Astyanax mexicanus: one gene and its partner. The protein of the gene in region 1 purifies or fractionates together with the protein of each later gene. This does not show direct contact. Links are inferred from orthologs where the notes say so. Each region holds a gene or a part of one and is shown in the gene's direction. Other genes may lie near its edges.

Region 1 (11,685 bases):
GAGCCTCTTCATTCATAGAAAAATTCCTTTGCCTGGGCTCTACTACGACCAATAACAAAAAAGAACACATACTCTCACATAATGTATATATATAATTTAATTATCACTCACTAAAAGCCCACTGTAATACGAATTGCAAAAGTTTAAGATCGCTTTTCTGTTTGTGGAGAGAAACCTAACTTTTTTCTTTAACTTTAGCATTAAAAAAATGTCTTAAACCTGTAAATACCAAACACACACTAGCAGTTTACACTTTACATAATTAATGATTTTCAAACTTATAAGGAAATGTCTCAAATTTTATAAGTTATACCCAAACAAATATTGCAGACAATGCCTATATTTCTATACGTTTGCATTATAAAAAGTAAATATAAAAGCATTACAAAATATTATTTAGGATTAAGAAAAGAATAATTTATCATTTATTAAACATGAATGTAAAAGCATTAATCGTATTAATGTAAAATGTAAAAATTACTTATTATGTGAGGACATGAGGTTTTCTTTCAGTAATCATCAAAACCCAAATGCCTTAAAACATCAACTGAAGGCCCACCTTGTTCAGGGCCACTTGATAATGCGCTATAAAAATTATATTTTAACATCTTTTATAATATTTATTGCGCTCAGGTTTATTCTTCTCTATATTCAAATTCCAGGAACTATGCATTGTTAGCAATAGGGTTATTGTGTGGCTCATTTCCAGTAGTGTTAGAGCTCACAGGTATCTTGAATTTGGCATCTGTTGATACTAGCTTTGGATAGTCTAGATAAGAGCATCTGCCAAATGTCATAAATATAAATGTAATCAATAACACATTATGCTCAAAAGAATAACAAATATTGGATGCTAGTGTAAAGCAAGTGTATAAGTAATTTCCTTTTATGCAATGTGAAATAGATATAAAGTATACCAATTTTGCAGTTTAAAAGTCTTTCAATAAGAAAAAGTTTCATAAGTGAGCGAAGGTCATAAATTAAGCAATAGAGTGTTTGTACAGGAATTGTCTAACACAATATCTTACCTGTCTACACAGGTGAATCACTGCTTACAAAAACAGATCATTTGTTTTTCAGTAGGGACTGTGGTGCTTTGTGTGTGCAGCCTGGATACGGAGTAGCTGACATAATGAGCGAATGCTCCTGTACACTTCCCACAGGCCCTAACCTAGACACTGACTCACCTCTGAGTTTCTCCGGAACAGTGATGTGCTGCCCAGACCGCGATGGCTCAGCTGTCTTACTGACCTCTGGCTGGTCTGAGTCTCCTAGCTCTTCAGATGCATCTGACTCATCAGATATTGTGAACATGTGATCCATTGTGAAATCTATAAGAAAAACAAAACAGAATTTCAACACTAGAAACCACAATCATAAATAATCCTGCCTGAAACTTCAAGGTTTTTCCTGTTGGTCTGCATCCATATTTATGCCCTAAAATGCCCTTGTTGTGAGGCTCAGGTAGTAACTCTACAAAAGCATAGCACTAGATATACAAAACTAAATATACATACACTAAATATACACACAATATACAGAAGCAACAGCATCCCATGTTTGGAACTTTCAAGCATAGTCCTTTATCAGAGGTCACAGGACGCTGATAACAAGATGCTATTGGTGGCCTATTTTTTAGCCCAGCACTGACACATGAAGTGTTTAGAAATTCCAGCAGCACTGCTGCGTCTGATCAACTCGTACCAGTGCAACACACACTAACTCCACTATCAGTCAGTGTCAGTATTAAGGGTGGTAATCACAGGGTATCTTGCGATATGATACCACGATACTGTGATTTAGCGAAAATCAAAATGTTGCAAGACAATTTTCTGTACAATACTTAACAGCATCTGTGCTCCTGAAGAGGATAAATACTCCTAAATAAGCAAATACCAGGAATTATGGATTTATTGGTGTCACAGAATTTAACAAACAATATTCTTCACCACAGGTTTAGCCTATTGATTTGATTATAGTAATGTTTTTATGGAGCCTTTATTGTAATATCAACTAGTGACAAGTGACAAGCTATGTAAAATAAGTTATCATCACCTCCTCTCCACGACAAAGGAAATCTGTGTATGACACTGTGTATGAATGTGTGTTCTCTATTCATTTGTTTATTCTGTAAATTGTGCATCAAATACTGTGTTAAACTGAGTGAGGGAAATTGAGGTTTTTTACTCCTCCTCGCACTGTGTAAGCACGTGTGAATTCTTATGATTTATAAATCACTCATAAATAATGGTGATATGAGTGAAATCATCAGTGAGGGAGCATGCAATTAGCATGCTCACTGCAGGAATGTCCACCAGAGCTGTTGCCCATAAATTGAATATTTTTGACAGACTGTGTATGGCTTTGTGTGGGTTAATGGTTTGTTGATGTCAATGTTGTGAATCGAGTGGCCCATGGTGGTGGTGGTGTTATGGTATGGGCAGGCCAGGGCGTACGTAAAGGACAATGAACACAGCTGCATAACCTCATGTTGCAGCATGATAATGCACGGCCTCATGTTGCAAGGATCTGTACCCAGTTCCTGGAAGCATGTTCCTGAAAAACATCCCAGTTATTGCGTGACCAGCATACTCACCAGACATGTCACCCATTGAGCATGTCTGGGTTATGTTCTAGTTCCTACCAATATTCAGCAACTTTACACAGCCACTGAAGAGAAGTGGACAAACGTTCCTCAGGACACAACCTGATCAACTCTATACAAAGGTGATGTGTTGTACTGCGAGAAGCAAATTGTGAAGCACACCGGGTACTGACTGGTTTTTTGAATCCCCCAGATTCACATATTACTGTAAAACTGCACATTTTAGAGTGGTCTTTTATTGTGGCTAGCTCAAGGTACACCTATGTAATAATCAATGTCTCTAATCAGCATCTTGATATGCCACACCTGTGACTGGTGAATGGTTTACCTCAGCAAAGAAGAAGTGCTCACTAGTACAGATTTAGACCCGAATGTGAACAAAATTTGACAGAAAAAAGGCGAACATAGGAATAACGTAGATCTTTGAGTTCAGCTTAAATAAAATGGGAGCAAAACCAAAAGTGTATTTATAGTTTTGTTCAGTGTGTGTGTGTGTAGCTCTGGAAAAAAATAAAGAGACCACTTAAAAATTATACATTTCTTTGATTTTACCAAATTAATGGATGATCACAGCTATCAAACCAATCTAAACTGCTTGACGTTTTGCACCAGGAGTGGAATTAAGTTATCCAAAAGCAGTGTGTAAGACTGGTGGAGGAAAAAATGCCAAGAGGCATGAAAAAAAGAGGATTAAAAAACAGGGTTATTCCAGCAAATATTGATTTCTAAACTATTAACGTTATGAATATGAACTTGTTTTCTGGGCATTTTTCATTTTCTGCAAATAAATGCTCTAAATGACAAAATTTTTATTTGACATTTGGGAGAAATATTGTCCGTAGTTTATAGAATAAAACAATAATGTTCATTTTACTCAAACATATATCTATAAACAGCAAAATTATAGAAACTGATTCAGAAACGGAAATGGTCTCTTAATTGTATCCAGAGCTGTATGTATGCATGTATGTATACACACACGTTTATTCTATTAAATGGCTTCGGCTTCTTTAAGTTGTATCGTTACCCACTACTGACACAATATATACACACACTAAGCTTGTCTAGTCCCAGCATATAATATGCCAATAGAATAGGACTTTCTAGGGCACATAAACAAGCCTATTGTCACTATGCAGAATGCAAGTAGAAAATTATCGAGTATCGTTAGCCAGCCAGTTAACTATAGTTAGGTTAGCTACTCTAGCTAACTACACTGTTGTTGTTGATGCTTATCTGCGGTTAGCCACTTCCGCTTAGCTGACACGCTAATTACCTTAGTTATCGTTAGCTATGTTTAGCTAGGCGTTGAAAGAAACCATAGTTGGCTAGCTTAGCTTAGCTACATCACACTCAAAACAAGTCCATTAAACTAACTTAATAGCTAAGCTGAGGTTAGTTCTACAGTAGCTAACTGAGTAAACTAAGGCTAACTTTCTCAATAGAGCTGCTGGTTTGCTAGCACTAACTATTTAGCTAGTTAGCTAACCTAGCCCATTATAAAGGTCAGTCAGGCTGACTGCTAGCTCTCTCGCTTAGCTAAGTAACTTCAGGTTGTATATCTTACTAACTTGAGTTATAAAGGTTGTAAGACTAAACGGACTCCTCAAGCGTTTATATGAGTCAGACACTCTGTCCCTTACCGAGTTTGGACGGCTGGCTGACAGCAGTGGAGTCGCAGGTCCCCGCCGCCGCCGCTCTCGCCGCTGTGGACATTCAGTCCAGCCGCTGCTGCTGTGTTTGTGTTCCTGAGAGTTTCACTCCACCACTCACACTCTTCTCCGACCAATCAGCGCTTTACTTTACATTTACAGTACATTTCATTTAACGCACGCTTTTACTCAAAGAGACTTACAAATGCTGAAGTACATAAGCAATAGAGGACATAAATGTCCAGGGAAACACATTGCAGGGCCTTTACTGCATTTAAATCATGTGGAAAATATATAAGATTGGAACATGTACATATATAATACATGGAATTTACAGAAGACAATGGGATTCAAATAATTAGGGAAAATATACCATTTACAAAAATGCATTTAATAAAATACAGTACCGTTCACCTTAAATTCCGCGTTTTTTCATTATTTTATACTTTTCTGCAATGTAGATCAATACTAAAGTCATCCAGACTATAAAGAAACATTTTAAAAACTTACCTCTGTTGCACAAGATAAGTTACTAGCCTTAAAAACCGCAAGTAATAACAAACACAAGACAAATCTGATCTTTATGGTATTTCACCGACTCAACACACTGCACTAGATTATCATGCTGCTCCTTTGATTATGACTTTTATACAACGTAATTTGTACAAAACTGTCCTCTGTTGAGTGCCACACCGATGACCCATGCACGTTATATTTTGTAATTAAATCACACATAGTTGTTAATATGGATAGCATGTGTGATAATACAAATACAGTCATTTATATCTTGTATAAAATAGTTTTTTTAATACATATTTTTATTAACAATATGTTGTCCAGTCCTATCCCCATTCAGATTCCTCCAGTAAAGTAAAGCATGTTGCTGCAGCATGAGAAATACTAGAAAGTTTAAACTAAAATCCATGGCTGCATATTTTATAAAAATAAAAAAACTGCAAAAAATACTTGGAGAATAATAAATGTTACATTTAGTCATATGAATTAATGTAACAATAAAATACATACCGGTACATACTGTTCAAACACTAGATGTCAGTAAAGCTCACAGAGCATGGCCAGTTACAGCTTTATCTTTCTCAATGAGATCCAGCGAATTCCCAGCATCCCTTATATGGTAGAGGTAAAAGAAGAGAAATAAAATGCCCTTTTATCAAGGTATGTACTGAAAGTCATTTTACTGTATTGCGTGTGATTTGTTTAAACAGTGAAAAAAGATATTTACAATATGTTGTCCAGTCCTATCTTCATTCAGATTCCTCCAGTGAAGTGCAGAATGTGGCTGCAGCATGAGAAATGCTAAAAAGTTAAACCTAAAACCCATGGCTGCATATTTTATACAAAAAACACTGCAAATTACTTGGAGAATAATAAATGTTACATTTAGTCAGATTAATTAATGTAACTATAAAATACATACCGGTACATTGCTAATTCACCTTGGAGCTGTTCAAGCACTAGATGTCAGTAAAGCTCACAGAGCATGGCCAGTTACAGCTTTATCTTTCTCAATGAGATTTACTCCAGTAAATTCCTCTACAGCATACCCCATATGTTTAAAGTAAAAGTACTTTAATCAAATAAGTTACTTTTCTTTATCGTGTGTGAAATGTTTAAACATTGAAAAAAGCAAAACTAACCCATAGAATTAAACTCAAATGTAAAATTAAATTCAATTTCTGCTAATGTATTTATTTTTTACTAAAGTTATGATTGTAGTGTGTTTCATTTAAACATATTACAAAATGTGCGAACATTAACCGTAATATAAAATAAAAATGTGTTTGAAATATTTAAATTTGAAAATAAAGCTTTTTTTTTTTTTAAACTAGATAACTTAGCTAATGGCTTTGGCTGCGTCCAAATCCACACACTGCACTATTCCTGCTGTGGGAAAGTCTATATTTACACACTAGTCAGAATGGAAGTATGTGGTTTAGGACGCGGCCGCATACTAGTTAACTAGCTATCATACTTAATAGGGTATGAAAAAAAAACATCTCCATTATTTTTAGTGCATGTAATAGAGTATAAATATTAATACAGCTGTGTCTGTTTGTGTATCTACTACAGAGTTCTCCTAAATTCGCCCAACTTAATACCGGAAGTAGTAGGTGTTTTTTTTCCTGCGGGGCTGTGTGTGTGTGTGTGTGTGTTGGTTCAGGTGACGCAGCTGAGCGCCGTTAGTGAAGATGGCGAGCGCAGAGATCGCGGCGGAGCACGAGAGGATCCAGCGGGAGATCGAGAGCACAGACACCAACTGTATCGGTCCAACACTCCGGTAAGCTGTGGCTGAACGGGCGGGATGTTGTGTGGGTCGCTGGTGGATTTACCGGCCGGAGGGAAGTCCTTGAAGAGAGCGCTGTCTCTCTCACTCTGTCTCTCTTCCTCTTCTCTCTGTAACTCTTTGGAGAGACTTCCAAACAATCTTCCCCCAACTTGTCATCCTGCTAGCGTGCTAAGTAGCTCTCCTCTCTCAGTGTTAGCAGTGCTTCAGCCAGAGCCCCCCTGCACACAGACACACACCCTGCCTTTAGTATTCACCTCACACGCCTTTACAACTTAGACCCTTACTACCTAACACACTATTAGTACACTGAGATTTGGACTGACCGTTGAGCCAGAAAGATATCTAACTACAGCACTTTGAAGTTCGGTGTTGGTAGGAGTGGTAGCTTAGGTTAAAGGGTCTAGTTTCAAAATGTTTATGTTAAGCTAGCTAAGTTAACTAACTTGGCCAATAATGCCAGCTTATTTGGGGAGCACGTATTGTTAAAGCAGTGTGACTTTCTGTAGAAGTTCTGCAGCTCATTAGGTTTATGTTATGATTTGGGAACTGAACCGAGTCCATTCACTGTTTAGTGATTCATTTCTATAGTTTAGCTAGCTAGCTAACTACACTATCGCTAGCTAACATTTACTGTTCATTGATTAATTCTTACATAGTTACCTAACCCAGCTATCGTAGGTTATCCTTTCCTATTAGGTTAGCTGGCTAGTTAGTTACTTTTATCTGTTATAGACAGTGAGTGCTTGTTTCCTACTGAACCATTCAGTGATTCATTCTTACATAGGTTGGTTCCCTAGCCTACGTTATCCTTTCCTTTAGTAGTAAGTAACTTAGTTAACCCAACTGTCTCTGTTATAAACACTGAATGTATGTTTTTGATGTTTTTAGACAAATATTACAGATTGTTTTAATACTACTTTAATGTTAGGTAGCTACGTCATGTAGCTAACTAGCTACATGAAGTAAATTTATTTTGTTGTATTAAATTCTAGTATAAAATCACTGTCCAGCACCATAGAAATATTATATTTTTCTGTAGCAAGAATTTATATTAAGTTTTTCTTTCTAGCTACTCGTGTGGCTAATATCTGTCAATATTTATTCATTCTATGCCAAATAAACGTTTAAATGGGCATTTGCTTAGGTGAATATTTAGTTTGTTTCGACAAAATATTCTTTTTTTTGTCAATTTAGGATAATATGCAAATATGCTAGCTAACCTATGTAACATAACTGCAAAAGGTAATTTGTAACTATAGATACTTATTAGCTACTCATGTGGCTCATAGCTGTCAATATTTATTGATTGTAAGGCAAAACATGACCATAAATGACCATTTGCCTTTTTGACAACCAGCAAAAAGCATTTAGTTCTTCACTTCACATCTGTCATTTTTAGAGAATATTGCAGAAGCTTAAAAATAATGTTTCTGTCTTTTTTATGTTATTTCTTACAGGAGTAATGAAAAAACATTTTTTCATGTATTAGATTTATGGAAGAATATCAGTACACATTAACTTGATGAATGCAAACTATCCTCTGTGTATAATAGCTACTATGATTTTTTTAAACATGGTATCGCCTGCCACTAGATTCACCCTAGTATTGTATAGCTAACATACAATCCAGGGCTATATAAGGGTAATTTTTCCTTGATATAAAGCACAGTATATCTTGATTAGACATTATATGTTGCTATATGTATCTTTAGCCTATATATCCTTTACATAGCAGCTGTTTGGCATAATGCGTATTTAGCTTTGGTTGCCCTGCAACTGATGGTTATTTAATGTGTGTGTAAGAGTGAAGGGTACAAACAATGGCATAGTGGAATATTCATACACTGGCGAGAAGTTGTGGCTAATATTAGTTAAAGGGAGTGTGCTGAGAGAGTTGCTTGCTTGTGTGATAGTGTGTATGTGTGTCTGTGTGTGGTATACGCTGATAACAGCCTCATGCTCTGACTCATGTAGAGTGACTGACATGCAGTCGGATGATAGTCATGGTCTAAATTCTGTCTCTGTGGTAACTGTTTGTAACAGAGGTAATTAATGTGGTAATTTGTTTGCCCTTTAGAGCTGGGTAATTTAAATCTCATTTTATTCTGAACTTATTTTATTCTAGATTCTAAAATCATATAGTAATATGGATACTACTGGGATGTTTGTGTGAATTGTTTGGTTTCCAGAGGGATGACACTTAACCAAGTATAGTCTTCATAATTAAAGGAGCACAATAATGAATATACTAACCATTTATTTTAACAACATAATCCAGGGCAACTTGATCATTGAGTCCTGTACCATGTTGATATCTTATATCAGTGTTTCTTTCTCATATTACCCAACTGGACCTATGTGATAAAGCGTTTTTATTGTTATTGCTATTGTATTTTACAGAATAAGTGTAATTATATATTAATTTCCAGATAAGATGGCCCAGATCAGCATTTATACTTTAAATATATGGTTCATGGTCCTGTTTTGATGCCCAATTACTAAACTCTTTTGGAATGCTTATTTGTATTGAACACCACAACCCTTCCCCTACTAATTTCTGTAAATTCTCTCTTTTTCATGCTCTGTTTGACTGCCTTTCTTTTTTTCCTCTTTCTAAGCTTTTCACTGCTGTACAGACAAGGAGGGGTGTGTGTATGTTTTCTTTTTTGAGTTTGAGCCTGTGGCTGATAAAAGCTGAGCCAGCCGTGACTGAGCATGTGTCAGGTGTCAGCTGTTGAAGGCTGCTGAGATTAGCAGCTTTTGCTGCTGTTCTCATTTACAGTTTCAGTCAGAGTGTGATGTTGAGAGAGGTGCTCATAGTGCTGGGGCAGGGTTCATTTAGCAAAGATGAGGGATGTTAAATAAAGCAAGATTTCTTACTTAATCATTAAAAAGAATTTTTACCAGATTTCTTCAGACGTCAATGATTTAACATGTCGTTGTATTAAAGTTGCACTCCATGAATCAAAGATTGCAGTAATCAAATTTAATCTGATTTTGATATCTGTCATGAAAAATTAAGATGATGATAAAGAGCCTTAAATTTGATTTTTTTATTCCAATACAGATTATTTAACTTTTTGTGTCAGATATTTTTTTGTCAGAGTTTTTTTTGCCTTATATGATGATTTCCATGTTCTCTATGTTGCAAAAAAGTAATGGGAAACTTGTGATATGACTATATCACTCAAACGATATATTGTGAAGTGCATGCAGGATGCATACCAAAGAAATGCGCATGGAAAAATAAATTGGCCTTTATACAGCAAAGTTTGTGGTGTTTGTAGTGATAGTTCCACTTGTTTTTAGCTGGACTTATCTGATATATCCTGTTATGCTAGTGATAATGAAACTGAAGAAAAAATAACTCTTACAAAAATCTGATTCAGTATTTTCCCCTAGTCATATACTCTTTAATACTAATTTACTCTCTTAAAAACAATGCATGAAATACTCTTAATTTCCTTTAAACTATACCATTACATGCTGCTTGTTATGTAGCTTGTTATCATAAACTATATGCAGGAGTTATGGTTATGTTTATTGCAGTTCTGTGTTAGCAGCAGTCAGGATGTTGTGTGTTTGTTTATGCTCAGTGTACAATGCAGTCAGTAATAGAGCGCTGTGTTTCACCTCATTTGATACTATGTTTGTCTTTTGAAGTCAGCCATTGTTTCCTGCTGATTTGTAAGGTCTCATGCTTTGTTTTTCTCCATCCTTTAACAAACACACGGCCTCTGGAGTCTCGGACATTAAATATACACGCCACACACGCCATTCCCATTTACACCCTAACACAATTACGCAGTAAGTGATAAGAGCTGTGTCTGAGTATGTGTGTTCGAGTTCATCCCGATTCTGTTGCTTGTGTTGAAGGCTGCAAAGGCTGGAGTTGGAGAAAGACAGTCCAGTTCATGCTCTGTTAGCGGTGCTGTGAGTCAGCTCTCCCAGTCTACTGTTTCTTCTCTTTTTAGACTTTCCAGTATGTTCACAGGAACTCACAGGAACTCGCAGAACTTCAGTTTTTTTTTCTTCTGTATCCCAGCCTGGAGAAGAACTGTTATGATGACTTCTAAATTTGCTCACTGCCCACTTTATTAAATCCACACCCTTGTTCACCTCAATGTCCCATATGGTCTAGCAGTTAGGATTCTGTTTTAGGATTCTGAGTTTTTACCCAGATGTTTTTTAGGGGCAATCATGGCTCAGGTTAGCGCATCTGGCCATCAATAACAAGGTTATGGGTTTAATACCTGGGTTCTGCAAGCTGTTACTGTTTGGCCATTGAGCAAGGCATTTATGGGTTTGATACCTGGGCTCAGGAAGCTGTCACTGTTTGGCCCTTATGGGTTTAATACCTGGGCTCAGAAAACTGCCACTGTTTGCCCCTTGAGCAATGTCCCTATGGGTTCAGTACCTGGGCTCAGCAAGCTGTTTGGCCACTATGTGTTCGATACCTGGGTTCAGGAACCTGTCACTGTTTTGTTTTTTGAAAAAGACACTAATGGGTTTGATATCTCACCTCAGAAAGCTGCCACTGTTTAACCCTTTTGGGTTCGAGACCTGGATTCAGCAACCTGTCACTGTTTTGTTTCTTTAACAAGACCCTTATGGGTTCAATACCTGGGATCAGCAAGCTGCCACTGTTTGACTTTATGGGTTCGATACCTGGGATCAAAAAGCTGCCACTGTTTGACTTTATGGGTTCGATACCTGGGTTCAGCAAGCTGCCACTGTTTGCTCTTATGGGTTTGAGACCTGGGCTTAGCAAGCTGTCACTGTTCGGCCCTTAAGGCTTCGATACCTGGGCTCAGCAAAAAGCCACTGTTTGACCCTTGAGCAAGGCTCTTAACCCTCACTGCTGCTTGGGTGCCACAGCAATGGCTTCGAACTGCTTTATGCATGTGTTTACTTATGTGTGTGTTCACTGCATTGATGTTCTTCCAGCACAAGTATGGTGACTATAGTTGTTTGTTTGTTGTGGTTTGTACATTTATTGTCCATTTCATTAGCTTCACCTATGTTGCAAGAGATGTGATTCCTACAGCTGTATAAGTTGTGAGGTGTTATGATTTTAGGGTGAAGACTGGTTAGTATGTTTATGGCAAGGCATCATGAAT
Region 2 (11,962 bases), on another chromosome or scaffold:
GTGTCTCAGAAAATTAGAATATTATATAAGAACCATTGAAACTTTTGGCAGTGTGGGCAGTGTGCCAAATCCTGCTGGAAAATGAAATCCGCATCTCCATAAAAGTTGCTGTTGAGAAAAATATTTTTTTATCTTGAAAATCAGGGATTTGAACCAGATCTTTACTAAAAGTTACTTATTTCTCACCATACCTGTCAAGTCTCTCGTTTTAAAAAGGAAACTACCGTATTTTACCGTAAATTATAATATATTATAATAATTAAAAAAACATTTCTGTGCCTCTCCAAACTGAAATTTCACTAACAAGCCTGTGAGACCTGCGGGAACAGCCCTGGAACAACCAATCAGAGACCAATGGATGGATGCAGGAAGAGAGAGGATATTCCTGCCAAAAAACACCATACTATGATGATACATACTCATACATACTATGTGAATAAGTATAATATCATACATAGTGACTACAGAAAATACCATTGATTCGACAAAATGACATTAAAATAAAAATACTATATATTAATATATATATATATATATATAATTAATATAATAATATCAATTAATAAAACTATATCATGATACTATGATACTGAACCTGGGTTTGGCTGATAGTACGACTCGAAGTGGGCAGTAGGAAATTTCCCTTGTTTTTAAATGCAAAACTTGACGGGTATGTTTCTCATAGACAAGATATAAAACACACTCGTTTTATCTCTTTCAGAGCATGCAGTTCCAGGGCAGTCTGAAGTTCCTGCATGGTCAGAAGAGGAAGAGCGAGTCGGGCAATCTGCTGCCCCCTCAGCTGGCTCTGTTCTGCGTGGCTGTACCACTCGTTGTGCCATCTATCACCGAGCTCAAGATGAAGAACATGATGATAAAGAGCAAGCAGAAAGGCTCCAGCAGCAGGTTCATTCCTCAGATTTACTGCAGTTTACTTCTTACTGAATTGGGAGGGTTTCACAGCTCACTTAACAGATTTTTTACACTATAAGGTACCGAATGCACTTAATTATAAGGCACACTGTCAATAAATGTCTGTTTTCTGGTCTATTTTAATACATAAGGCGCACTGGATTATAAGGTGCATTATGCAACACTAGTAAGGAACAGGGGTGTCACCATGTTTCACTTTTAATTCAGCAGGTCTCGCCACTAGGTGGGTGTAGTTAACTAAGTTAAGTAAAGCTAAGCTAAGTAAACAAAACTATAATTCTTTAAAAAAAAAAACCTTTCTTTTAAAGTCAAATGAATGCTGGATGTTAATCCACACAAAATTTCTCTCCTAAAAACAGTTTATTTGTATAAGTAAAACGCTTTTGTTTATTTACAATAAGCTAAGATACCCAAATTTCTCCAGCACTAAGGCTGGTGCATTAGCAGTAGCGACTAACTGCTAGCGGTTAGTGCCTAATGCCACCCGACTGCGCTACACTGGCTCCGGTAAGCCAGGCCGATATTAGCTAGCAGTTTCTCCCACATAGCTTGTTTTAACATGGTAAACACACAGCTAAAAGAGCTAACTAGTGCTTAGTGCGGTTAGCGGTTAACGCTAATGCTGCTCCAACAGTGCTAGCCAGTAATAATTCTTATTTCTGAACAGCTAAAAAGCTAGAGCTTAACATGATTAGCGGGTAATGCTGATGATACTCCAGGGCCTTACAATCTGACTGGTAGAATTCATACATAAGGCACATCGGATTATAAAGCTGTCCACTGTTCAAAAAATGTTACATTTCTGGTTCAGCTGGCACCTACTATCTGGCCTCGCATTAACCTCCATAATTAAGGCAAAGGTTGAACTTCTCTCGCAAGATAAAACCTCACAACTTGTACAGATGTGGGTGTTCCTAAGTCGTTTCTTGGTTTATCACTTCATGATCAGTTTGCATGACTTTTGGCATATCTTTTTATCATGTGGGTCCCACATGATGGGATCAGATCAGATGCAATTGAAATGAGATATTCACTAGTCATTAGTGGTTTTTAAAGTTATAGCTGATTTTTCTACATTTTCACTTTCTTTTTTTTTTTTGTTCATAGCGAGAAGAAGTACCGTATGTCTCGTAGCTCCACTGACCCTGGGGACATGCTGTTGCTCAACTGGACCACCACGTCCTCCAGAGACCCCTGCCACAGCAGTCCATGGGCTGCCCTTGCCAAAGAAGGCGTCCCCTACAGGACCGAAAGCTACTACAGCCAGGACGAGCCCCTCGACTTCTGCCTGTCTTCCGTGGGGGTCCCCAGAGTACATGCTACAGAAAGTCCATGGGATACTCGAATAGGTCCTACTGGTTATTTTTCTAGCAAGTTAAGCAAACACGCACAATCTGGCAAATTCCGCACTTCTCCAGGCCTCACACCAATGGGATCACAGGCCAAACCTTACGGACACAGCGAAAGGGACGGGTACTGTGGCAATGGCAAGACTGAGGGCAGGTACATGGCACATAATGACTGTTACGGTGGTCTCCTGCTGCCAGAGACCGCCATTAAAACAGAGCAGGACTCAGATTCAGAGAACGGCTGCAGTAGGTACACCACCATGCCCCACAACGGGGTTTGGCGCTATGGCATGACCTTCAACGATAGCCATCTGGTAAAAAACGAAGGAAACTACTACAACCACTGTAGCCCATGCAACCAAAGCGGTGGCAAATTGGCTGGTATCAGCCCAACGCTTAACGGCCACCAACGGTATCTCTATGCAGGTCCCAGCAAGCCTTTAAAATGTGCCCTCAACAAAGATGGCGCCCATTCTGACCCTCTAGGCAACCAAGCACACTGCCTCGATGGACACGCCTACCTAAATGGATCTACTGAGCCCAAAGTCTTCGCCCAGCCAGACTACAAGCTGAGCTATGAGTTCAGGAGCCACAGTCTTCTCCACTCCATCAAACGGGAGCCCATGGACTCTCCACCCTGGCCTGAAAGCAGCCACGATCCCAGCCAGGCACATGCAGACAGAAATGTGGCGAACTGTACACAAATGAACGCAATCACGCACAAAGCCAATCCCTATTTGTTTATGCAATGATGTCTGAACTGATCTGTGGTACTTTACGGTCAGATATGTCTTATGTCTTTGTAGTTAGTGATGGATTAAAGGAATACTCCACTGTTTTTTAACCTAATCTCTATGTAAAGAGTCTAAATCGCACTAATGACTTGGTGTCTTGGTGGTCATTTTGTCAGTGCATCACTTTGGAACAGGGACTTGCTGGGTTTTTCTGGTTTGCAATTTGTATTGGCCTGATTTGGACAATTTCATTTCATCAGGCTCAAACTTAAGATTTTTTACTTATGAAATTTATTTGAGGCAATTTTTGATATAATGATTTTAACAAGTGATTTTGATATAATGATTTTAACATATGGTTTGTCAGGCTGCTTTTAAACTAACAATATCGTGTCCTCCTTGGGTTCATTTTCGGGACAATTTTCACTCTCAATATCAGGCTCAGATTAGGCTGTATTTTACTTCCATCTATGTACATTTTTATAGGAGCATAGAACCAGATTGGGCCAATTTTCTATTTGAGTTGTAAATTGGGAGTTGGGACACAATTTTCTTAATTTTATTGTAGAACATTATGCTCATGTCAGACTCAGATTGGGCCAATTGCTGCTTTTGTCATCAAATTCAGATTGGATCAATTTGCACCTAATACAATAGATTCACATCAGACCAGTTTTGCCTTAGAGGTTGACCTTGATTTTTTACTTAAAACATCAGGCGTAGATATGGTCAGCTGCCAGCCTGCTACTTGCAACATCAGACTATGTAACATCCATCAGACACTTACTGTATTATTACCGCACTAAAAAGCACACCATATTGGGGGGCACACTATTAATAAATGTCTATTTTCTGGTCTATTTCCAAAAACAAGGAGCACCGGATTATAAAGCTTACCGGGGTTAGCAGCAGGCTACAGGCCGATAATACTCACCTCTGAACGGCAAAAGAGCTAGCGCAGTTTGCTGCTAATGCTAATACTGCTGAAGAAATAAACTGAAACTCCTGTATATTGCTGCATTTCAGCAGAGTGGCTTTACTGCTCCTTACAGCCTGACTGGTAAAATTCATACATAAGGCGCACCGGATTATAAGACACACTGACGATTTTAAAGAATTGTAAGTGTGCCTTATAGTGCAAAAAATACGGTACAATAAACTTCTTTTCTGTCCTTTCTGTCTCATTCTCTAGAAAATAGAAAATGAGAAATTACAGTTCAGGGGAACTTTGGTCAAGTCAAGATGAGACTATTAAGACCTCAGAAAAAAGAGAGATCAGAAAAGAGAAAGTCTGTTTTGAGTCTCTTTTTTACATAGTAGCAGGAATCACAATGTAATAGTTGTCTATTCAGTTGAATCTGTGCTACAGACGCAGCAGAGAGAGATTAGGTTAAAAAAATGCTGAAGTATTCCTTTTGAAGCTCAGGTTTACCCCTCCCTTTGCAGATGCAGGTCTCATAGTAGCACTGGTTTTGAGGGGAAGTTCTATATTTTAGCACTTTTACAATGATGTGGAAATTTATTTTAAATATATGTATATTCAATGTTTTTTTTTATTTGTATGTAATGCAAATAACTCTTAAATGCCACAAAAATTACATAAATGTACTGTTTTCTTTAAATAAAGATTACATGTTGGTCTTCATCCCAACTGGCTTTAATACAGGTGATATGTATCATGTTTTATGATTTTTAATCATGCACAATGTATAAATAAAGGGAATTTAATGGGGCGGGGGCTGTTTTGTGTTTTAGAATATATGTTGATTATTTGTTATAATAAGTTGTTAATTATGCACTGTGTTTTGGAATGAATAGCTTGCAGAGGTTTAAGTTGCTGTCTGAAACATATGCTGTGTGTTTACACTTGTCAGATTAACAATAAAAAAATATATATATCAACATAAAACATAAACCGTTATAATTTTGCAGCTATATCCTTTTCATAACAAATATTGCTGAGTTTACAGGCACATTTATCTGTGGTCTATCTGTGTTGTTTACCTGTTTACAGACTGTTAATTCCCTTCTGTCAGTTCTGTCATTTTTGTAGTCTAAATGAATAGTGAATATTATAAGTAATGGATTCTATGGTATGTATTTTCTTTAATGATTTCAACAAACTCATTTTGCAGTATATTTTGAATATGGTTCACAACCTCTTTTATACACGATTTAGCTGCTGAGCAGCAATCACTGAAAGTCGTATTTTTGTGTTTGTATTTTTGAAATGTAAGTAAAATATTGCATTGTCCCTAGAAAAGAGTCTTGTCTTATTTTAGGCATGCAGGAAAATTGTGAAAAATGTGTTTATTATATATTTATTTCTACAGTTATTGACGGGAATAATTGCAGCAGTATTAATCACACTTTATCACTACTGTACTGCAGGATTCAAACTCTACATCTAACCATTTTACTTTTAATATCAGTGACAATGCGCCCACACACTCAAATCAGCAACGTTCTCTAACCCTTAGGTCATGACTAGTGTTTCCTTTAAAATTAGCTAATTGTTTACTTAAAGTACAGTTTTAATTTAATACATCATTAAATAAAATTAATGATCACTAGGTTTTAAGTTTAAAAGTTCAAAATTTGTTGTTTTTCCATCATCAATCTTAACAGATGTAATGCAACCAAAAAAGCAGGTTTATTCAATGTTCTTTACTATCAACTGCCAGACCTGACTGTTTACTTGTTGACTAATGTTAAGATTCAACTCCTAACATTACTAACTGGATAGTAATACATTATTATTATTATTATTATTATTATTATTATTATTATTATTATTATTATTAATAGTAGTAGTAGTAGAAGTAGTGTTAATAGTGTTATTAACATTATTTTTAGTGTTAATATTATTAATATTAACAAATATATGATTATTATTAATGTTTAAAAAAAATAGTAAAAGTAATGATAAGCTAAACTAATATATATATATATATATATATATATATATATATATATATATATATATATATATATATATGTTCAAGTGTCATTAACATTAACATTTTGGTTATTAACATTATTTGTAATGTCATTTTTGTGAATTAGTATTATTATTATCATCATCATTGTGGTTATTATTATTATTATTATTATTATTATTATTATTATTATTATTAATTGCGTTATGAACGTTATTATGATTTTATATTTTTTTATTATTTATTTATATATATTTATTATATATTTTAATTCATTAATTTCTTTTTTTATTAATTGATTTTTTCACCTGGTCCTGATCTGGCTTATGGCTGACCCTGCTCCTTTCTGCGCAAATCCTGCGCAGCCGTGCCTGTCTCTATGGGCATATGCGGGGTTGGGCGGCGCAGCGACCAGGAAGACTGAGCGCCGCAGTAAGAGGAAAATAACGCCAGATAATTAGAATAATATGATATTAATGCAGAAAACACTGAGCGGGAGCCTTTAGGAACACCAGCTGAGCCCGGGTAAACATTTGTTACACCGTATTTCACCTTAAATAAGCGGAGAACGCGCTCAGAAACCGGTGCCAGGAGCTGTTTGTGCCCAGGCTAAAGAGTTAGCTTACCTTAGCCTGTTAGCTTTAGTGTTTATGTAGCGTTAGCAGCTGCAGCTAAGCTATATGTTTATGTAAATAGATGTATATATCTGTTCAGTTTAGCTAGCTAAGCTTGTTAGCTAGTGGGTGCAGCTCTGTCCACCTCAAACCTGCTCAAAATACGTTAAAACCCGCTGTTAAACAGTCATTTATTGTTTTTCAGGAATGGGAACATACCAGTCTTTTTCCTACATTGTAAATGAATACTGAAGTTGTCCAGACTATGAAGGAACACATAAGAAATCATGTAGTAACGTTAACTTAAAAGTGTTCAACAAACCAAAATACTCTACTCTTATCTGGGGGACTGTTAACTTGTGGTTTCTGAGGCTGAGGCTTGTCCTTTCCTGGTCCTTATAAGTGCCAGTTTCATCATAATCTTATGTCATGCCAACTCTACCTCTTCACAACTGATGCTCTTAAACTAACATTAAGGGGCAAGAAATTCAAGTAATTAACTTTTGACGAGTTCAGCACAGCTGTTAAATGAAAGACTGCCTTATAAAGCTGAATAAGAAAATCCAGCCAAGATGTGCAAAGCTGTCATCAAAGCAAGAGGTGCTACTTTGAATAATCTATATTTAATATTATAAAACATATTCTGGTTTGTTTGTTTTATGTTTTCTTTACTAAATAATTCCATATGTTTTTCTCTTTATAGTTTGGATGACAGTATTTATCTACCGTGCAGCAAATGTTAAAATAATGAAAAAATACTGAATTTTAGGTGTGTCCAAACTTTTGACTGGTACTTTAAAATTTACAGAGAGACTAGACACCCATGTATAACTTTTAGAAACAAACTGACACCTTTCTAAAATAATCGCCTGATAAAATCTGGGTTTAAAGTTTAGACCGCTGTGTCTCCTCAACTTGCTCGCATTATTAGCCTGTATAGGCCTAGGATGGTAAAGTTACCTGAGGTAACCTAGCCTTAGCTTTTATTTGTCCAGCAAAAGGGCTTCTTTCTTTGTGTAAATTTCACTTATATGAGTCTTGAGTAGCTCTGCTGAGGTAGTTTTATGATTAAAATAGATCTACTTAGATAAATTTGTGACTTGCATTGTACTGCTGATGTAAATGTATGATTAAAATAGCTCTACTGCTGGGATTTAAGGTTTAGGCTACTGTGTCTCCCCACCTCTCTCTCTCTCTCGCTCTCCCTCTCGCTATCATTGTCTCTCTCTCTCTCTCTCTCTCTCTCTCTCTCATTCTTGCTTGTGCTGTCTTCTGTACTGTGGATCTGGGACTGAATATATAGAATTCGGACTAGAGCGATAAAGTTGCCAGAAAAAGAGTTATCTGTTCATTAACCCAGCTATCTGCACTATTCACATATAAAAAAATCTACTGTAAAAAGAATCTACTTAAAAAATTATTAGAAAATTGACCAAAGTTAATTTAAAGGGTTTGCCGATGTGCACAGTATTTGGTTTTAATATAACTGACGAAGCATGTTTTTATTTATTTTTTTATTTTTATTTTTACAGTGTGTGCAGGTTGCCATTATGGAGGAGACGAATAGAGAGGCCGTTGCCACAGCGGTGCAGAGGGTGGCGGGGATGATCCAGCGATCAGATCAACTGGATAAAGTTGAGCAGTACAGACGAAGAGAGGCACGAAAGAAAGGATCTGTAGAGGCCAGACTTAAAGTAAGTTTATCAGTGCCTTTGTTATATATCAACTGCAGTGAGAGTGTTTACTGCATTACGAGCCTTTATTAAATATATTTATAATTGTCGTTGTTGTGTGTAAATGTATAACAGTGTCTTTCCCTTTGTCCTACAGGCTGCAATCCAGTCCCAGTTGGACGGAGTTCGAACAGGCCTCACTCAGCTGCACAACGCTCTGTGTGATGTGAAGGACATCCAGAACTCGTTAGCAGACGTCAGCAAGGACTGGAGGCAGAGCATCAACACCATCGAGAACCTGAAGGATGTTAAGGATGCTGTGGTCCAGCACAGTCAGCTGGCCTCTGCAGTGGAAAATCTCAAGAACATCTTCTCAGGTATGAGTTGTTGTTTGTTTGTGTTCTTCTATCTTTGTAAACTGACTGTTTTTTCCAGCTGAAAGATTTAAGCTCTACGGGGCTAGAGTGATAACGTTAGCTGAGGTAACTTAGCCTTAGCATTTATTTGTTAGTTATTAGTAAAAAACTGTTTGTCTTTCTCAGTGTAAATTTTGCTCACATGTCACTTGAGCAGCACTGCTAAGGTAAAGGCATTTTTGGGTTAGAATATCTATGCTGACTTAAGTAAATGTATGACTAAAATTGCACTGCTCTGCTAAATTTATGATTAAATAGCTCTACTTAGGTAAATTCATGACTGAAATTGCACTGCTGTGGTAAATGTATGTTTTAAAAGCTCTACATACGTAAAGTTCTGACTTAGGTAAGGTAAATTCAAAAGTTAAATTGTATTGCTCTGGTAAAATTATGATTAAAATGGCTCTGCTTGGATAAATGCATGACTGAAATTGTACCGCTGAGGTAAATTTGATTTAAATAGCTATCTGTAAGAAACTCCTGAAGACAGAGCTCTTCAAAGAGCACTTACTCTCCTAACACCTCTAACTAACTACCTTCCACTACCAGACCAGGAGAATCTCTCACTATCTTTAATAAACTCCTGAAGACAGAGCTCTTCAAAGAGCACTTACTCTCCTAACACCTCTAACACACTAACTACTTCTAACCTCATTTCCTTCTTCCCCTCCTTCACTCCTCTATCCCATTATTTCCCTTTGACCTCCTTTAGGTCCTATCTAAAGATGTTTTTACCTTTAACTTCTATTACTTTTGTACTTCACTATTGTCAGTCGCTTTGGACAAAAGCATCTGCCAAATGCAATGTAATGTAATGTAAAATAGTGCTTTTTGGGTAAATTCATGACTCAAATTGTATGACTGAGGTAAATATATGCTTTAAATAGCTCTACTTAGTTAGGCATATGATTAAATGATCACATGTAGGTAAATGTATCACTTAAATTGTACTGCTGAGGTAAATATATGATTTAAAATAGCTGTACTTATGTAAATTCATGACTAAAATTATACTGCTGATGTAATATTATGATTAAAATAGCTCTGTTTAGTTAAGTGTATGATTTAAAATAGCTATACTTTGGTAAATCCAGGACTAAAATTGTACTGCTGAGGAAAATTTGATTAAAATAGTTTTACTTGGGTAAAATTCATGACTAAATCTATGCTTTAAATATCTCTACTTAGATTAATTCATGGCTAAAATTGCACTGCTGTGGAAAATGAATGAATAAAATAGCTATACTTAGGTAAATCCAGGACTAAAATTGTACTGCTGAGGTAAATTTATTATTAAAATAGCTCTATTTCGATGCATATCTACTAGGCCTGTCGCAATAAATGGACTTGAACTTAATAATATTTGATATCGTGGTATCGTCTATTGTGTTTATTTATATGTTTGTTCACATATATAACACTGAAGAGTATTTTAGACAGCAATACCAGACCCATGCTTCAATAACTGAGACTCCATACAAAAAGTGTGGCCTGCAGTAGGTGAAGAAAAATCTTTATTTCTCAAACTATGATGAATAAAATTTTGTTTTCTTTAAAAGGGTATAATTATTATGATTTTTTTTGTGTTGATATTCAATTATCATTATATCAGTGACATATGGTTTATCGCAATAATTTCTGGGACAATATATCACCCACAAAAAAAAATCCTATCGGGACAGGCGTAATCCCTACTAAATTTCACTCTCTCTCTTCTTCAACAGTTCCAGAAATCGTGCGTGAGACCCATGATCTGATCGAGCAGGGCGAGCTCCTGCAGGCTCACCGCAGACTGATCGATCTGGAGTGTTCCCGCGACGATCTGATGTACGAGCAGTACCGCATGGACAGCAAGAACACCCACGACATGAACCTGATCCGCGCCTACTTCGGCCAGGTGCAGGGCCTCTCCGACGAGCTGGCCAAGCAGCTGTGGATGGTGCTGCAGCGGGCGCTGGTCACAGTGCGCCGCGACCCCACCATGCTCGTGTCCGTGGTGCGCATCATCGAGCGCGAGGAGAAGGTGGACCGGCGCATGCTGGACCGCAAGAAGCAGACGGGATTCATTCCCCCCGGCCGGCCCAAATGCTGGAAGAGCCGCATGAACCAGGTTCTGGAGGGCACGGTCAGCGGCCGCATCGAGAGCACCCAGTCGGAGACGCGGGACTCGGATAAGATGTGGCTGGTGCGGCTGCTGGAGCTCACGCGCAAGTACGTTCTGGACGACCTGATCGTGGTGAAGAACATGATGGTGCAGTGCTTCCCTCCACACTACAACACCTTCCAGCTCTTCTTTGACCTCTACCACCGGGCGCTGTCGGCACGGATTCAGGAGCTCGCTGCAGAGGATCTGGAGGCTAATGAGATCGTGTCACTTCTAACCTGGGTCCTCAACACTTACCAGAGGTATTTTGACATTCATATTAATGACACTCATATAAATTTATTATTAAAACACCTCTTGTTTGGTAAATTCATGAATAAAATTGTTCCTCGGCACTTACCAGAGGTATTTTAACACTCATATGAGGCGTAGTGTGATAGAAAACAGGTTTTTGCAACAATAAATCAGATTAGTAGAGTTGATTAGTCATTGATGTTAAAACATAAAAACACAAGGCATCTTATGATATGATGTTATCGCAATACATTGCCTATGATAAGGATGATGATATGATACTATGATTCTGCGATACTCAAAATATTACTGAATTTATGTAATACTTAACAGCGTCTGTGTTACTGAAGATACGCCTTAATAAGCTAATACCAGGAGTTATGGATTTATTGGTGTCATTTTCACAGAATTGCACTGCTGAGGTAAACTTATGATTAATATTGCTCTATTCAGGTAAATTTAAGACTTAAGAGTTAAATGTATGATTAAAATAGCTCTACGTAGGTAAATTCATTACTAAAATTGTTCTGCTGAGGTAAATTTATGATAAATAGCTCTACTTGGGTAAATTATCACTAAAAATGTTCTTCTCAGGTTAGTTTTAGATTAAAATGTCTCTACCCTGCTGAAGTGACTTTAGGATTTAAAATAGGTCTTCTTAGGTAAATTCATCACTAAAATTGTTGTACTGAGGTAAATTTACGATAAAAATAGCTCTACTTAGGTAAACTCATGACTAAAATTGCACTACTGGGGTGAACGTGACGTACAGCACTGCTGAGGTAAAATTATAGTTAATATAGCTCTTCTTAGGTCAATTCATAAATAGAATTGTTCTGCTAATTCAACTGTATTATTTAAAATAGCTTTTCTTTGGTAAATTCATGAGTAAATTTGTTCTGCTGA

Evidence for each region.
Region 2: the proteins of exoc6b (region 1) and exoc3 purify together in Homo sapiens (affinity purification with mass spectrometry; 3 studies listed by BioGRID and IntAct, counting the BioPlex papers as one, with this or other methods). This does not show direct contact. The link is inferred for Astyanax mexicanus from reciprocal best matches to the Homo sapiens genes EXOC6B and EXOC3.

The regions. Positions count from the first base shown.
Region 1 is NC_064415.1:24,545,698-24,557,382, forward strand, and holds the start of exoc6b (exocyst complex component 6B), read left to right. Parts: upstream 1-6,327; 5' UTR 6,328-6,467; coding exon 6,468-6,556; intron 6,557-11,685. Other genes in the region: badb (BCL2 associated agonist of cell death b), read right to left, coding at 1-42, 1,188-1,331, 4,249-4,321. UniProt on the Homo sapiens protein: Component of the exocyst complex involved in the docking of exocytic vesicles with fusion sites on the plasma membrane.
Region 2 is NC_064411.1:51,607,858-51,619,819, forward strand, and holds the start of exoc3 (exocyst complex component 3), read left to right. Parts: upstream 1-6,328; 5' UTR 6,329-6,480; intron 6,481-8,101; 5' UTR 8,102-8,119; coding exon 8,120-8,263; intron 8,264-8,399; coding exon 8,400-8,619; intron 8,620-10,382; coding exon 10,383-11,064; intron 11,065-11,962. Other genes in the region: ahrrb (aryl-hydrocarbon receptor repressor b), read left to right, coding at 722-906, 2,041-3,034. UniProt on the Homo sapiens protein: Component of the exocyst complex involved in the docking of exocytic vesicles with fusion sites on the plasma membrane.